2 linked regions of the Nothobranchius furzeri genome follow. The main gene of each other region encodes a partner of the protein of the gene in region 2 in a complex. Links are inferred from orthologs where the notes say so. Each region holds a gene or a part of one and is shown on either strand. Other genes may lie near its edges. The genes, in order: nus1 and dhdds.

Region 1 (8,734 bases), on a different chromosome or scaffold from region 2:
AGATCAATAATACAACCTGGTTTTATGATGACAGCACTGGATGTAGGCACATCTAACATCTGCAGTCCACACAGGCTCCACCTCCTCGTACAGGTGAGCTCCTGCCTCAGAGCAAAGGAGAACAGCACACAGATGTAGTTCAGCTTGGTGCCATCACTGCAGAAGTCACATATGCGGTGCAGGGCTCTCACCCGAACCCCGCCTCTGTAGAACGACCCGTGCCTGTTCAGAAACATCCACACTAGCACCAGCAGACCGACTGGTCATGTTGGGCTGCTGCTGGGAAACGCAGACGATGACCTGTGACCTTTGATGTGACTGGGTCACTGCCAGGTGTTTTATGCTAGTCCTGACTGATGAAGGTGGTCTAGGTGTGCATGAAGGCTGAAGAACATCAGGGCTGTCTCACCTGGGCTCTTCAGGTTGTATTTGTTCTCCATGCTGCTCGTTAACGAGGACGTGTTCTTCAACCAGCTGCTAACACGTCAGCTAACTAGCTTCTGGTTAGCAGCCCGGTGTGCTAGCTCTCTCTGGGGCTCAGATAAAAGCCTTCAGACTAGATGTCTCCTCTCTGCCGGATGATCACACACGCAGCGACCCCCGGAGAAGTCTGGATCCAGCTTATAGACCAAGAATGTCCGTTTCTCAGACGTTTTCACGCGTTTAAGTTTCGAAACCATTCGCTATCCACGTGACGTCATCTTTGGAACGTAAACAGGAAGAAGTGGTTTCTTCTTCTTGCTGGGGGTAAGGCCATTACCGCCACCAACTGGATGGAGGGTGATGCTCACCTTGCTCCGGGAGAGACCAGGAGACACACTTGGCTTCCCCGTTCTTCTTCAGAGACGCAGCCGTAGCTTTAGACGTGTGTTTGGATCGTTGTCGTGTTGGAAAAGTGCACGACGACCAAGTGCATCTTCTCCTTCAGTGTATCACATTGTTGAGTTTATAACTCGTGCAGCCCACATAAGGACACTGCCACCACCATGCTTTACTGTAGGCACCATGCATTTCTTTGAAATCCTCATCTTCACGACGCCATACGGTTTTGAAAGCATTAGTTCCAAAAACAGTGATCTTTGTCTCATCCCTCCAGACTCCCAGTAGTCTTCATCTGTTCCAGCGTGGGCCCTAGATAACCCCAGGTGTGCTGTTTGTGCATGGGCCTCAGGAGAAGCTTCCTTTGTGGACGATCCCCTTGCATGCCATTCCTCTGCACGTGTGCCGTATGATGTCACAGGAAACGGTCCAGTTGGGCTTTCTCCTGCTTTAGCTAACTGCGGTGAACTTACATGGTGACTTTCTTCAACTCCTCTCATCAGAAGACGTTCCTGTCCAGATGTGAACTTCTGTGGACGGCCTGGACGTCTCTGTAAGCTGGTTGCTCTTCCATCCTTCTTATATGTTTGGATCACCGTTGCTGCAGTATTGTGACTGACGTGAAGCTTTGCTGATCTTCTGCTGGCCCTCACCTTTTTGTGTAAAGAAATGATTTCCTGTCTCAGATGTTGACATTTCTCTTCCATGTGGAGCCGTTGCTGACAGCATGAAATGGGAGGGGCTAGTGAAGTAACGCCCTTTTATAGTCACCTGTCTGCTGGACACATCTTAGATGAACCATTAGACTCACCTGTGGTTGAACACCTGTTCATTTGAATTTGTAGTCTTGAGTCTTTCCTCCTAAGATTACATCTGGGGTGTACTCATGTATGCAACATGGACTTGAATGGATCTGTTAGGAAAATCACTTTAGTGTGAAAATGAACAAATGTTGTTTGTAATCGATGGCCCACACCTGTGGGAGGGTTCTGTAGTATGGTACCTCAGAGAAGATGCTGGTTCTGGAAGCAAACTAAAGCTTCTCTGACTGATGTAGAGGGGTGTTGGTTTTATGTTTATGTTTATTTAACAGACGCTTTTATCCAAAGCGACTTACAGTTTATAACCTATAGGGCATGTTGTGATCTGTGGGGGAAACCGGAGTACCCGGAGGAAACCCACGCATGCATGGGGAGAACACGCAACTCCACGCAGAAAGGCGAGTTTTTTGAACCTGCGACCTTCGTGCTGCGAGGCAACAGTGCTAACCACTGCGCCACCATGCAGGTTTTATTAAAGCTTTATAGTTTTAAATCTCAGGTAACTTCATAACATCCTAGCAGACTCTGATTTTGGTTTTTAGTTTTTGAACTCAAACACACGAGAGCCTTTTGTGTATTAGAAGTACAAAGATGCACGGATTCTTTAAAACAAACAAATGTTCCTTTGATTAAAATAGTTTAATGTGCCTAGTTCACAAGGTCATTTTTGCCATTTTTATCAAACATAAAGGTAATTTAGTGGCTAACCCTAACCCACCATCAGCTTAGAGATTTAGGCTCAAATCTACTAAAGTCTGGACAACACTGGATGAATTAAAGCACTCACAACCTCAGTAACACACACACACACACACACACACTTTATAGCTTTGAATTATTCAGGTTTTCTGGGAATACTTGAAAGAGCGGTGCAGCTGCAGCTTCTGTTGTGATCATCGACCTTCGCTCTTTAACATTAAGAGAACCCGGCTGGTCTTATTTACTTGACTCTTGTTTACTCTGTGGTAATGTCACTGGATGATCAGCACTTTATTTCACACCTTGAGTTGAACAGAGGAGAACAACCGTCTGACAACACCTGAATGCGTGTGCTCAGAAAAATTCTGTCCCTGAGACAGACGTAATCCTCTGGAGCTGCTGCCGGTGGATGATGAGAGACAGGAGGGCCTCGTGTCAGAGTGAGCCGGTCTATGGTTTGTGTCCAGAAATCCTTGGAATGAATTTATTCTAAGAGCAGGCCCAGATCTCCAAGTTATCCTGGAGGCAGCGCTGAAACGGATCAGAAGCGCGATGAGGGGAGTCCGAACCTCCATCACTGTCCCAGCCTCTGCTGACAGGAGCTGTACCGCTGCAGGACGCCCAAAAGGTCCTCATAGGAGACGTTTCTGTGGGATGGCAGGGAGCTAGAGACAAGCAGGGAACAAACTTTAAACTGGAACCATCGCAGCTCAACGCTGCCACCTGCAGGCAAACAGTTTTATTATCCTAAACAAGCAACACTCCGACTGAAGTTAGCTGGTTTAAACCTTCAGATGTGATCTGACAGCAGCTTCCTGCTACACCAGGCCCCCACAATGCAACTCTGAAATTGAGTCAAACCCGGAAGTGAAATAAATTGCAGTTCCACCCTCATCCACTAGGGGCTGGTGTCAGAAGCGAGCAAATCCTCATTGACTCCCATGTTAAAAATACCAATTTCACAGCAGAAATAAACATGTTTACAGCCTGGTACCAGAACATGTTTTTGGTTTAAATGATCTAGTTTACACTCATGACAACTCTGAGGGGGGTGAATGTTTTTCTCACTCTTCTGTTTAAGTGTATTAAAAGCCTAAAATTCTGTATAATTAATGAGCATCAGACCCACGTGACCACAGAGCTAGCTCCGTGGAAAGGCCTCAGTAGAGCCTCGGTCTGGCCTGGAAACTGTTCCGCCATTTTGAGTCTCTGTGTGTGTGTATTCTTTTTTGGATATTATTTGTGCAATTGTTGGACAAAATGACTTGCTGTGGCATTAATTGCACTAATAGAGCGTCCAAGGAGTCTCCACTTGATTTTTTTCGGTAAGTAAAATTATATTTATGTATTTTAGGTCACTGCCGAGCTGAGCTTAGATTTTAACATGTACTGTTTAACCATGAAATTTAAATATGATAGGGTAAAACCCAGTGCATTTAACATAATGCTGCACTTTAGAAAATGGGTTGAAATAGAACATGTTGGTGGAGCTGGGTTCCCACTATCGGCTTGTGGAGCTCTCCGAGACCTCTGTGTTCCACCCGGTTTTACCCAGCGGTCAGCCCGGCGTATCTCTGACTCAGAAGCTCTGGTGTTGTGCACAGTTAACTCCGGTTGTAGCTAGGTTGCTACCTCCGTTAGCTTAGCTCCCACCTCTGCGTTAGCTTTGGGTTAGCTTCAGGTTAGCTTGTAGCTAGTTCGACCGGGTGTCGTCGGTTGATCCCAGCCTTACAGCCCCACCCTCAGCTCCTCCTCTCTTCCTTTTATGGAATTGTCTGGGCTTGACGGAACCTGTGACACGGTCAAAATGGCGGTGGTGGCCACCTCCCATTTTAGTACAAAAACTTGTTACTGGAGCCTATGGAAACCCATTGTCCGTATATTTATGTCGATGTGCTACACCTGAAGGTTCACCTGGATCACACATGTTAGCACAGCTGCTTCACCATCATGACAACCCAAAAGGAGACTTCCCCGTGAAGATGAGGAGCAGAAAGGTTCTGTGTTTATGTTTCATGTACAGTAAGAAGCTGCTCATGTCTAAATGTCTGGATAGACAGACGTAATCCTGAAGTTATGAAGCAATAAAGGCAACAAGGAGACGGAGAGTCAGACGGGAGCTCACATGAATTCAGTGAGTCTGATGTGCCAGGGGAGGAACCCCAACGTGCTGTTGACTGGGCCAAACTTCACCACCAGCTCAGGGTCCGGAATGTTCTTCGACTCTGGAAAAAACAAAACACACATGTCAGCGAAACGTATGTCTTAAGCCAACAGAAACATGGCGTGTTTAAGCTCTTAATAACCTAGAAGTTCATCCCAGTAATAACAGGATTAACAACGCTGGGGCCGGGCGATACGGCCTAAAACCAATACCACCACATAGAGGAGTTCACCTCGATAGTGTAACGTGAGGAAATATGGGTTTTCTGTGCAAAAGGTCATTTGACTCGGCTGGGTCGCTGAGAACTTTCACCCACAGATTGTGACCTTTGCAGACATGAAGTCTGCTGGAAACCATAACATCTGAACACCTGCAGTACCAGAAGAAGGAGTTCTCATGGAAAAGTAGTCATGACATAACAAGTCTTAAAACTTTGTTTCTTGATTTTAATGTTAAAATAATCATTATCATTTTGCTCATTATAAATGTGTTTAATCAAATGAATGATTCTTATGCTTTGGGTAATTATAATGGATTAATGAATCCATACTTAGACAATGTTTGAGGATGTTTGTTACCGACCTTCACACACACACTCACACACACCCACACACAGATTCTCACAGTAAACTCCAAAACACATTTGCTGACGCACACGTTTGCTTTGAGAAGAGAAAGGCTTTTGGTAAGTTTCAGTCTTATGATTTCAGTTCGTGCTTGACAACGAAAGAAAGAGGACCTGAATAAACGCTAAAGGGGGGACAGAGCCGGTCGGCTAGTTCCCCCCCCCCCCCCCCACGCTGTTCCTGCCAAGCCAGGCAGAATAGCTGAATCGCAACTTCTAACGCAGACTCTTTACCGAGTCTTTTGATTTCTGAGTGAACTAAACTTAACAAACGCATCGACAAAACGCTTTTGCATCGACGTGTACCGAGGGCATCTCTGGACCGGGCCGCGGACACCTCCGTCTCCTCTGCCAGCCGCTGGTGTCACCTGGATGAACATCCTCTGGCGTCCCGGATCCAACAGGGAGTCCGATTTTCGGTGAGGCAGAACACAACAGATAGCGTTTTGATGCATCTTTTCCAACTAAACCTAAGTTTATTCAAACCATCACTTTTCACCCAGACACCTGTTTCTTCCTGAAGCAAAATCAGATGCACACACGCATCCATCTCACCTCATGTTCAATTCTCACTACACTTTGCACACACACGCATCCATAATCACATCATATCACTCTCAACCTTCAGCACCTCCAACAGAAGGTCTATTTGAGCAAGAACAGCATATCAACTGTTAAAGATTGTCCCACAAAGTTGCCAATGTTGATTGTTATTTCCTGTTTGTCAATTTCAAAATCATTAGTTTAATTTGAAGAATTAAAACTTTGAATTGTCGAACTTGTTTTCTTTATTGAATTGAAACACAGACACACAGATATTATCGACAGTTTATCGATGAAAACAACCTTTGAGTCTTCTTAAAACTATACAATTTGGTTATTAATTTAATAAAATTAATATCACAAATTAACATGTAGAATGGTTCCTCTTTCATAAAAGAGCATAAACAACAACGCTAAAGTTTGACCAGCCAGCCAGTTCTACAATAGCGATAAGTGGACGATAACTACAGCTATGCACAGAGACAACAGTTGTCCACTAGATGGGGCTGTCACTCGTACTGGTGGTACAGCTTCTTAAAGGGACATGAATGTTGCCAACCTATCTAATTTATTGATACGGGAGAAATTATCTCGATAAGCGTCAGAAATTTCAATAACGATGAATTTTGGACTTACTGCCCAGCCCTAAACCAAAGTTTAACCCAGTAGGTGTGCTTCCATTAACAGAACTTTAGGCTAAATTTACAGGAAGTTCCGGCGTGAGCCCGTCTCCCCTGGACCAGGCCGGCCAAACGGCCATTTTCAGGGACTTTCTCAGTACCTGATCAGGGTGGGCACTTGGAGCAAAAAGTTATTATCAGGAGAAGGAGAATGTTTAAGTGGTTAGCAGCAGTGTGCTAGCCGATGGCCCCCTCCATGAGACCACCACAGCTCAGCAGAACATCGTTGTAGCTTCTTCTGGGGAGAAAAACACTTTTTGCTTTCTTTGACGTTGGATGTGCTACTACTAGTTTATCCGTTTAATTATAGATCCACTAGGATAAATACAATAAAGTTTATCTCTCACCTAATAGAATATTTACTAAGAAATCACAATATAACCATAGAAACACTACGTGCGCGTGCGTGCATGTGTGTGTGTGTGTGTGTGCGTGCGTGTGTGTGTGCGCGTGCGTGTGTGTCTGCTCTGTCTTCTCCATCCCCAGTGAGTCGTGGAGGATGGCTGCTTATACTGAGCCAGGATTCTCTGGAGGTTTCTTCCTGTTAAAAAGGAGTTTTCCTCTCCACTGTCGCTGCATGCTTGCTTAGTATGAGGATTGCTGGGTTCCTTATATAGGAAACATTATTTCTGATTGGCTTAATGAACTGTGAATTGGAATGTTTATTATGTGAAGGTCCTTGAGACGACTCTTGTCGTGATTTGGCGCTTTATAAATAAACTTGAATTGAATGTTCAGCACCTTGGGCTTCCCGACAGGGTTGCAGAGGGCGCTTTATAAATAAAGCTTTGATTGATTAAAACTGCTGTTACTAAACTCCCAACACGGGAAAAAGGGAGGAATTCCCCCATGATGACGTCATTCACGGGGCTTTGTGGTCTCACAGAGCGCTGTAAAAAACAGATTTTTATGGTCATTGAACGCCACATTGGACATCACACAGCTGCTCTCTTCCTCTGAATGGATGCAGTTACATTAAACTTGTAATGCTTTGTGGCGCTGATCAGTGACATGGCTCACTGCCAAAGCAGTTCAGATACGCTGACGTCCTGGAAGGACTGAATGGAGACACAACAGCAGGGAGAACCGGAACATTTTATGTCCCAGTCAATTTCTCTGTCCCAGAATCGATCCTGAAGTTCCGGCAATGGAAACACGGCTAGTACCCGGGTTTAGCGCAGTAATAACACAGGATTAACTCGGTAATAACTACAGATGCGAATCTTCACTTGTCTCACAATTCGATTCGATATCCTGATGCATCACGATGACTTCACATGGATGTTTGTTCATCGATAATGTCAGATAATTGCTTTTTTAAATGAAAACTTGTCTGACACAACCTGCCTCCATTCACAACAGTCCTCAGGACAAAACATGTTCGAAGATTTAACAAAGTAAAAATCTGTTTCCTCAGGCTGAGAAAAACATGCAAATGCTCACGAATCTAAATAAATACTAGAAAGCTACGGGACACGTCCAGTTCTGGCCTTAGACTGAAGTTATAAAACCCATAATGATGTCTGAGCAGCTGTAGAGCCAGGTACTGATGCCGCAGCTCCAGGCTGTCAGAAATAACACCAAATGTTTGTTATTTACTTGAACCCGGTGGTTCGGTTCTGAAGTGTTGGAGAATGAATCAAGTTCTGTTTGACACAGAAAATAAAACAAAAAAAAATCCTAAACTTCCAATAATATTTAAGATGTGTGTTTTATTCTTGCTGATAACACCAGCAGCAGGAGGCGGTGGGCTGGATTAGGATTAAATTACCCAGCTGATGGATCTCCTTCACTAACCAGCTGTCCTGTGTGACCCTCATGTCCATGCTGTCTCTGGAGGAGCAGACAGGAGACAAGACCTCCTGTAAGCTAAAATGAACCAAAGCTTCCTCCCAGCTTCTCTTTAAGCTGAATTTAACATCAGTTTATCTTCATGAAACTAAAGAATAAAGTGGAACAAGAACTTCTATCTTCTATCTCTCCTTTTAACTTGAGTAATAACCCAGGTTTACTCAGTAATAACCCAGGTTTACGCAGTAATAACCCAGGTTTACTCAGTAATAACCCAGGTTTACTCAGTAATAACCCAGGTTTACGCAGTAATAACCCAGGTTTACTCAGTAATAACCCAGGTTTACTCAGTAATAACCCAGGTTTACGCAGTAATAACCCAGGTTTACGCAGTAATAACCCAGGTTTACGCAGTAATAACCCAGGTTTACTCAGTAATAACCCAGGTTTACGCAGTAATAACCCAGGTTTAATGCAGGATTAACTGCTGATTAAGCTCCATTATCTCCACGGATCCATAACATGAAGAAACACACCGAGGGGAATACATCGACCAGGACAACAGTAAAGAACTTCTGTCCGACTGAGTTAG
Region 2 (9,485 bases):
ATTACATTATTGCCGGAACAGTTTCTTCCCAGCAGCTGTCAGACTCCTGAACTGTGCCTCCTGACATATGACCCACGTTAAACTCATGGACTGCTTGTATTAACTACAGCCTGTACATACTTGTAGTCATAGAATATTCATAACATACTTCATATCGTGTACATTATAACATACGTAATAGATCCATTTCTGTAATATACTTACACATCTATATTATTGCTAATATATATTGTAATTAGGGCTGTAGCGAAGCCTCGACGAAGTCGACGGCTCGATTCTAAAAATTTGTCGACGTCAGATCCGGAAGTCGACGCACCGCGCCCACTTGTTGCATCCCCAGGAGTTTGTAAATAGAGGAGGAATCTGCCCGTTTTTCCTCTAGTTCGCCCTCTTCTCCGCCTTCACTAACATCTCCGCCAAATACCGAAGACCCGGAACAACGTCCGTCCACTACTAGATTATTTTCCTGTTTTGCCCCTTCGTCTCCCGGCAACGGACAACAACTTCCGGGGTCAGATGCGCTGCTTCGTGTCTATCGCAGATGTAGAAAATCACCGGGAGCGCTTCTCCCTTCATAAAGGAGCTTCTTTCAGACATTAGGAGAGCTGTTTTGGTAGTAGCAGTCTCTCCTCCGTGCTGGTCTGTTTGCTGCTGGGTGTTTTCGGTTTATTTAAACTTGGTAACTTGAACTTAATGTTGGTAAAGCTACTGTTAGCATATTCGCTAACAGCTTCTTGCGTTGGGATAAGCTGTTACGTTTTGGTTTAGAGTTCATCTTTTTTGTGGTGTAGATCTCCCTTTTATTACATTTAGAGTGTTGTGGGTTTTCGGTTTACTGTAAAATATCACCTGAGTTTGGTTTAACCCGTAAGACCACTCGCCTCACGCACATAAGTGACCAAAACAAAGCAGCATGGAGACACTCCATCTTCTACCACCTCTCAGGCAGCAGCCTGCACTCCCAAGTTCTACACGTCACCAGAACATAACCAACCAACACAATAAAAGCAGTGTTATACAAAATGGAAGGCCTGTAGTGTTTATTCTCTTACAGTAAGAATTTATCAATTTTTTTTGAGGAATTTATTTGAGATTTTCTGGTTTTTGTTAATTGTGCAATAGAAAAATAATCATTAGATTAATTTTCTAAATAGTCATTAGAATAGTCGACTATTCGATAAAATAATCGTCAGAATAATCGTTTTAAAAATAATCGTTTACCCCCAGCCCTAATTGTAATACATCTATATCACGGCTAAAGCACTTCTGGATGGATGCAAACTGCATTTCGTTGCCCTGTACCTGTACATGTGCAATGACAATAAAGTTGAATTCTATTCTGTTCTACATTATATCAAAGAACAATGTAAAAAAAAAATTATAATATATATATATATATATATATATATATATATATATATATATATATATATATATATATATATATATATATATATATATAACACAGTAATTTCTGAAGGGGGCAAACTCATGAATGCTGCTTTAAGATACTTTTAAGTTCAACAACATTAACATCCAATCAGCATCAGTTTAGTAATAAAAAGCAGAAGTAAGGGAAAAATCCTCTGTCACCGACAAGCAGCTGATCCAAATGAAAAATCCCTACTTCGCACTTTTCTGAAGGGTGCTCAAACTGAAACAGCATTCTGGGTTATAAAGAGACACGTGTTTACTCTAACCACACAGCCGGGCTTAAAGTTAGCTTCAAGGAAGCCGTGAATCACGGGATGAATAAAATGGCTGTTGTGCAACAAACAGTAAAGTGGAAAAGTTGAGTCAAACTCACCGTTCCTCCAACAGCCTCTCAAACTTCTGCTTGGCCAGCTCCATCAGCCCATCCACCTCTTCCTTAGTGCGCTTGAAGTTCTCGATGCTGAAGGCATACACCGTCACCTCTGGGATGTTGAGGTGCTTGCACCAACGTAACGTCTGGTGTAAGGAGGAGGGTTAAACATGATGGAATTGATATGCGAGGACATTTGCGTAGTGAGACTAATGAAAATTGACCTCTGCGAGCTTGTTGAATCCTTGCATATGGCCTTCTTGGCGTTCCAGGTTTTTCTTGCGTGCAAAACGTCGATTACCGTCCATGATGAAGGCCACATGTTTAGGCATGGGTCCTGTCTGGGAGAGATGGCATCAAAAGAGATTAGAGTAGAGCTAAACAGGTAAACAATAACTTTCACAACCATAAAAGTGCAAAGAAAACCTAAGCATGTCTGCCTTGACATAATGAGGGAACACTTTTTTTTAAGAGACAAAAAATGAAAAGGTACCAGCTTTTGTTAAAAGTTGGACACCTGTGTCTGTGGAAAGGGCGGTCCGGCCTGGCATCAGTGTCTCATATGACGCTTCCTCTTTCTAGTCGTCTTTGCAAGACACACAGTGCCGGCAAATCGGCGTAATATTACCGCACCGGTGTGTCTGAATAATCTGCTACACCAGATACAACATGTCACCGTATCTTACAGTCCTGAGGTCAAATGGGAAACAGAGCTGGATGAAGAACTTCCAGAGACACGTGGGAACCCTTGTTCAAAGACCTTAATACAAGACATTCACAAGAATGGAAAAGAACCAAATTTGAATCTTTATAAAGATAGATCAGCTGTGGCCACACAAACCCAGATCACACTCATGTCTTTTAGAATAGTAAAAACATTACACCAGATAGTAGGTACCAGCATCAACATGTAAAGACTTGTACCTACGATACATGCATGGAACGGTACACAGAAGGGACCAATAGATTATATATATTATATATACAGATTAAAATCCTGCTTACTGCCGGGATGAAAACTATCACAAAAAATGGCTTGAAGCTGCAAAACAAGCTAGATTTTAAACACAAACACGGAACTCTTACCCCTCCGCCACCCATCAACCCTAGGCCACGTCTGCATGATACTGGAACACACATCGTCACAGTAAACGAGAGAGAGAGCTGAACACCAGTCACCATTTTCTACATCCAAATGTCTTTCGTTGTCTGTGACTTCAAATGGTGTATTTCTTTTTAGGACTCTGATAGCTTGTCCTAAAGTGGTAGCAGCTGGCCATTTCTCCTTCTCTGGTATTGTTGAGCAGAGAACCCATCACACCAGTGGTGTTCTGTTGCTAAATACATGAGTGTGGTTCTTCTTTCAACACTGGAGAGACACTCAAAGGTTTTGAGCTATTTGAACTTTGGCTACTCGCTTTAACTTTAACACAGAAATGCTTCAACAAAAACGAGGTTGATTCAATTTTATCCTGGTTTTTATTTAAAAAAAAAAGCTGAGAAAATAGCACAAATAAAGGAATTCATGGCTCTTTGGAAGTTTCCAAAAGAGTCCCTCCACATTGTTGGCATTATCTAATATACCCCTGTGGGGGCAATTCAGCCTCCGTCATCTAGGCAATCCCTGATTGGATTAGTAACCAAATGACTTTGTGTCCAGCACGACTGTCATGCTGACGGTTAGGGATGTGAATCTTAGAGCAACTCACGATTTGATTCCGATTCTCATTCTTGGGGGTGCCGATTCGATTCAGAATCTATTCTCGATTCTCAATTTAAATCGATTCACAATCAGTATTAACAAAGAGTGTCAGCTCCAGGATGAACTACTTTGTTGTACAAGTTAGTTAAAGCTATGGGGCATTTTTTATTTGACTTTAAACTGGTCTTGCTCCAAAAATGCAAATTTACAATGTAAAATAAAGTGATTCTAAAACTGTAAACAGAAGCAATCTTTTGACCAAAAGGCAACAATTATTTTTGCTTACCTTGTAAAGTATAACAAATCTGTAGTTACCTAACGGTAGCTTTGAAAGTAATACAGTCAAATACTTAAGTATGTGTAGAAACAAGTCACATGAGTAATCCTGAGTACTCATTTATCAACTTAGAAAATAAATATGAGAATATCTCAAATTTCTGAGTATGGAAAAAATTACATTCAAGCGCCCTCTTATCAGCAGATTCAAACATAAATCATCTCAATTTATGGAACCACAAAAGTAAACAGAGTACTGACTCTCCTAACAAAGATCAAAAAAGTGCATCTCAAACCTGTAACATGCCAAATATTTGAGTTCTTAGAATCGATTCTCGATTCTGAATCTTTATAAATAAGAATCCTGATTCAGACTTGAATCAATTTTTTTCAGCACCTCTACTGACGGTATATGAATAGAGAAATATGTAGTGTATGTGCCTGATATTCATATAAGTGACTGCAGAATGAGATCAAGGCAATTCCAGCTATTTTTAATTAGTTTATTAAAGGTCAGATTGAACCCTGGAGCAAAGTGACCCAGGACAATTAATACACAAGTAATCCAACAAATGACAACAAATGTTTTAAGCTTGTTTTGCAGATTTGCAAAGGTAGATGCTTGTACACAGATGCAATGGGAGAAATAATACAGGAAATAAAAGAAATGGAGAAATTAATCTACAAGATTAGATAAAGGAGGACTCATTTGGGGAGAAATGGGAAAAATGCAACACAAGATTGAGCGAATTCAAAGATAAATTAAAAAAACTGTTTTGTTTTTGCTTGCAAACCCTGTTTTGTTATGTTTTTTTTCTATGCTTGTTTAGATTCATTTAAAATAAAATGTTCTAAATGTTTTTACGTTCCAACAACTGATGGTTTGTGTGAAGCAAGACAGGAAATACTTTTCCTAAGTCCCCCCAAGTGGCTGCAAGTAATCTGGCATAGTTTTGACCATTTCAGACTGTTCAAATAGACCTTTGGGACTGTAATTGCAAAATATTATGTTACAACATGAACAATCTGCAATAAGTAAATGCACAAGAATTATGCCACAAGTGTGTGCAACAGCCAAGCCAATAATATGCATGTATAACTATAATAAGATATGCAAATGAATGCTTCAGAGAGGAGTGTTATGTTTAAAAAGGCTAAAACTAGGTGTTATTTTATAAAATTATAACATTATCTTATCAGTTTTCTCCAGATCAATAGAAAGGCATCATTATTTGTGCAAAGCCACATCATGTTCCCACTCTACATTGATTTCATGCCAAGAATGGTTTAAGAGGTCACATGCTTTAGGATTTAAGTCAACTGCACAGCAGTAATACTTCAGAGAATAATAAACTATAAAGAAAATCTTCAATTTTAATTAATACGCTTAAAACGTACCCCAACAATGCCAGTAAGATCCATTATGCCAAACGAGAAGTTATTACAACTCGTTTTTGTTACTCCTGATTTATTTTCCCACACATAATAAAATACTACCTTACAAGTACTTTCCGGATCTCGGTGCTCCTTCTGAGGATTATACACAGTAATACCCGCAGAACAGGGTGGTGATGAGTAGAGTTTGAAGCTGATTGAAATGCTAACAACAGACACACAATAAGAGTCGTTTTAAAATGAACAGAAGCTTATTCTTACCTTTAGGATGTTGGCAGAAATCCTTTCAATCAGATTTAATTCACCTTCTTTTATCCACGACATTTTCCGGTTTCAAACGCTCTGAAATCCTGTAAATTAAACACAGTTTTAAGAAGTGAACCGTATATGATTCACCTTGAGCTGCAGAACTGGTTATTGCCGATTATTTCCATATCGTGTGCTGTATTAAATTTCATCGTGCAGCCAGTGATTGATTTCAACCAGAGAACTGGCTCCAACTGACCTGCTGTGAGGCTGAAAACCAGCACAAGTCTGTACTATATTTATCTAGAAAACACTCACCGTCGGTGGAAAACTGCGTCTTTCATTCAAACCCACGAAGAACGAGTCGTTCTGCCACGGCTACGACGATTTTCCTCACATTTCTTTACACCTTCCAACTCACAGCTCTTTCGATGACGACCACTTCCTGACTGGAGCGAAACAACGCATGCGCACGATGACGACTTCCTGTCAGCCGTTATTAGATTTATAAAACATGGGGATGGACGCGGAATTTGTACAAGATAAAATCAAAGAATGAAGATAAGAAGCATAACAAGTATAACGTTGGGTCTTAAACTAAATCAGAAATGGACTGAATGATAGTTTGAGAGTCATAGACCCTCCAAAATGTCCTGTTTTCACTTACAGGCACAGTAGAGCTTCATTTGCATTTATTAAAGGTCACCAGAATTGGCTAAAATTTGCATTGGCACCACTGGTGTCCTGAACTTTTTCAAAAATGAATGCAGCCTTGCTAGTTTAGTAGTTTTAGTTTTACAATCATTCTAATCTGTAGGAGTAGTTTTAGGTAAGAATTAATGTAGATCAGAAATTATTCCCTATACTACTTTCTTTACTCTATGTATAATCTTAGGTCAGTTAGATTAGCAGTCAATTAAATACTGTCCTGCTAATGTAGCATTCTTGCTGCTCATTCATTTTGCTGGGACCCATTGCCAGATTCTACACTGGTGCAGTCAGTGGGGTTTATGCTCTTCATGGTGCATGACAATTCCTGTCATGCCGTGCAACGTGGTAAACATTTGCACTTTTTCCTGTTAACTGACCCCCATGCACACCTGGCCTAGACACCTGTGGCCTCTAGGATATCATCCATTGCTGCCAGGTTGCATCTCAGACTCAGAGTCAAAGTTCCAGCAAAGTCCAGATCTGGAAAGAAATACTTCACACAATCTGTTGCCTTTTTAGGAATATTCCCAGACATGATCATGTATCAGGTATGTATAAAGGGACCGTACTGAAGTTTAATCAAAATATACAAGCTTGTTACATAACTTTTGCACCTTGATTTTTTAAAAATGTTTTTGAAATGTAGTTCCTTGAAGTATTGTTTTTGTTTTATTTTTCTCTAAAAAAGCAAACAGTACAAATATTTAGTATATATTAGACTACTTTTAGTATTTATTTATTATGATTTTTTAAATAAATGGTGCTGTTAAGATAATGCCAGCATTACACCAACAAACTAAATTAGTTCACGTTTCCACTAAACTTTGAGCCTTTTACTTTTTCGAATAGCTGCAGTGTAGTTCCGCTCTCCGCCGCTAGGGTGTGACAGTAACTTCATCAACAGTTCGTTTGCACTTTTTTAAATGGCGGTGAAGAAGTTTTAGATTTTTGGGGGGTGAGGGGCTGGCCTTTTTTGTTCCGCTGGAGAATCCTGCTTGAACCGTGGGCAGGAGCATCACACGGACGACAAATCACAGCACCGCGGACAATCGGCCAAATCACGGAGGAAGCCACGCTGCGCGGTTGGAGAAAAGCGGCTGGAATTAAGACGCTATCTCCCTCCAGCTCCACCGTTAGCAGCTCCGGGGTCAACGGGCAAATCAGCCGTTAGCCTCAAGTCCTCTCCGGGTCTGGGGGGGATCTGGTAAGGGGCAGGGGGCGGGGGTACACCGAGGAGGGTGAAGACTACAGGCCGAGAGGAGGGGGCTGGAAGTCTGAGACGCCTCCAGCCTGAAGGGGCCGGCGGTTTGGCCACAGCACCCCGGAGTAGCTAGCTTGTACAGCGCGGCTAAGTGAATGGGATGGAGCCGGGACCGTCTGGCGCTGGTAGGTGTATTTATTTATTTTTTATAGTAATTTCAAGTGATCACTGCAAACACCCGATTGCAGCTTCACATTTCAGTCGGAAAATCGGAGCGTCAGGGGGAAGTGGAGGAAGCCTTGTAGTCAGCCTCTTCCGTTGCACCGTTCGATGAAAAGGGGCTCTAGCTATCTACATGCCTAACAGTTTATATAAAACAATTATTTTCCTGGTTCATAACCACAGACGAGGCTTATTAGGGTGCTGACAATATCCTCGGCCATGTGCGGGGGCAGTGAGGTCGTGGGAATCTCTGTGAGGAGGGACGAGGTGAAGCCCGCCTTCAAGCCGCAGCAGCAGCTGGCTGCTCCCCGCATGCCCCACACAGCCTCCCTCTCACTGCTGGATCCTCAGCCAGTAGGACCAGCTTGTAACATCAACACGTCACATGCAGCATTAAAGACAGCCCCAGGCTGATCGTGTAAAATTGCACATCCAAGGTCAATAAAGTGTTATATCTGGGTTAGATTTGAGTTTTAGACGAAAAGGAGCAGAAGCCTCCCACTTTAAGTTTTGTTTTTTATCCTGCATGGATGCATTTGATGGCAGCTAAAGATCTATATTTAGATTTTTCTTATTGACATAAGAGTCGTGGAATCGAGCAAATCAGTTCAAAACTGTGTGTGTGCGCGTGTGTGTGTGTCAGGTCTGAAGTTCACCTTTTAGGGGTAAATATAAACAGTCTTAATCCTAATCTATGTAAAGTGTGATCTGAGCACTTTCTTTATAAAATAAACTAATTGCTTAATTTAACTGTCTGTTCATAACCTCAAAGCAGATTTATGATCACCTTAATGATAGACTTGATATTGAACATTAAAGTTAGGTGATGGGTCTATTTTCAGGGGATTTTCTTTGGGAAGGGGGAAGGGCCCATGGGGGCCCCCTCGTTTTAAACTGCTTTTGTGTTTAAAGTGCTACTATTCAATGCGTTTTTAAAAATCGATCCAACATGTTTGCTTCAGGGTCAACTGCCAAGACGCAAATAATCTGGTCAAAGAAGTGGTGGACCATTAGTTTTTCTTATTAGTTTACTTTATAAAACAAGCGAATTGTTTTTCCAGTACCCCAACGACCAATATTTATCCAATTATTTATTTTTGCACTTTAAAACACCTTAAGTTGGACAAACCACCCTTTACTTTCACCTCATTCCATTATGAGGTCAGATTAAGAAACATCTGTATGTTTTAGATTGTAGAATAAACTGAAAATAAAATATTTAAGTGGAAATCTTTACCAGCTGTCTGAAAACAAATGAAACTAAACTCAATCTAAACCCGTTTTTAAGCAGTTTTTCTTGGAATTGGGTTTAAAGACATGTAGTAGTGAGAGATTTCAAGTTGTGATGCTCCAGTTTTAATTCTTACCGCCTGGGAGAGAACTCCATTGTGTTGGGATATGTGAGAGCGCTGGCTCCACTTCTCACCATCTGCCTTCACTGGCACGAGGGAGAAGCGTGCGTCTTTGTGCGCGAGTGTGCAACAATCACAACACACTGGCGTGTTCGCACTCATGCATCCTCTAGTGTACAGTCGCCACATGTCTTGTATCTGTGTTTATGGACTTTATCAGATGTGTGATTCTACATACAGACTAAAACACGCAGCAGAGCATCTTTTTTTATTAGGTTTCTGACCGTTACTCTTCCTGGAGGTTTAACAGATGTTGAGTTGAGTGGTGTGAGATTACATCACCAACTGTTTGAAACAAAACTTTACCAGTTTAGGACTCTCTTAAGTGGCTCTTCCTTCTGGTTTGTGATCGCGCTCAGTGCGGGGCCACACAGGCCAAGGTCTCTCCAGCATGACCACAGTGGCACCCTGCCTCCTCCCATCTACAGCGGCCATGCACCTTCACACCGCTTCACACACACTCGCACAGATCCCCTTATATCCATGACAATACTGTGTTGCCGTGGTGTCTCCATG

What was found.
Region 1: the proteins of dhdds (region 2) and nus1 are in contact, whole or in part, in a crystal structure (PDB 7PAX), measured with the Homo sapiens proteins. The link is inferred for Nothobranchius furzeri from reciprocal best matches to the Homo sapiens genes DHDDS and NUS1. Residues at the interface, in NP_995583.1 of Homo sapiens: Arg37, Arg38, Glu81, Asn82, Lys84, Arg85, Arg159, His160, Ile162, Ser163, Val166, Arg167, Met169, Ala170, Trp171, Val173, Glu174, Pro180, Ser181, Ile183, Ser184, Glu185, Leu188, His199, Glu209, Val210, Arg211, Leu212, Ser213, Asp214; in NP_612468.1 of Homo sapiens: His137, Gln138, Pro193, Glu194, Lys197, Ala198, Ile200, Val201, Ala204, Gln205, Phe207, Cys208, Gln209, Val211, Ala212, Arg217, Pro218, Thr219, Leu221, Asp222, Val223, Leu226, Asp237, Pro246, Val247, Asp248, Ser249, Thr250, Leu251, Gly252.

Annotation. Positions count from the first base shown.
Region 1 is NC_091743.1:91,671,468-91,680,201, forward strand, and holds the end of nus1 (dehydrodolichyl diphosphate synthase complex subunit nus1), read right to left. Parts: intron 4,565-8,734; coding exon 4,465-4,564; intron 3,005-4,464; coding exon 2,914-3,004; 3' UTR 2,261-2,913; downstream 1-2,260. UniProt on the Homo sapiens protein: With DHDDS, forms the dehydrodolichyl diphosphate synthase (DDS) complex, an essential component of the dolichol monophosphate (Dol-P) biosynthetic machinery.
Region 2 is NC_091745.1:69,204,135-69,213,619, reverse strand, and holds the start of dhdds (dehydrodolichyl diphosphate synthase complex subunit DHDDS), read right to left. Parts: upstream 5,880-9,485; 5' UTR 5,742-5,879; intron 5,528-5,741; 5' UTR 5,502-5,527; coding exon 5,439-5,501; intron 2,146-5,438; coding exon 2,029-2,145; intron 1,951-2,028; coding exon 1,808-1,950; intron 1-1,807. Other genes in the region: ago1 (protein argonaute-1), read left to right, coding at 7,496-7,520. UniProt on the Homo sapiens protein: With NUS1, forms the dehydrodolichyl diphosphate synthase (DDS) complex, an essential component of the dolichol monophosphate (Dol-P) biosynthetic machinery.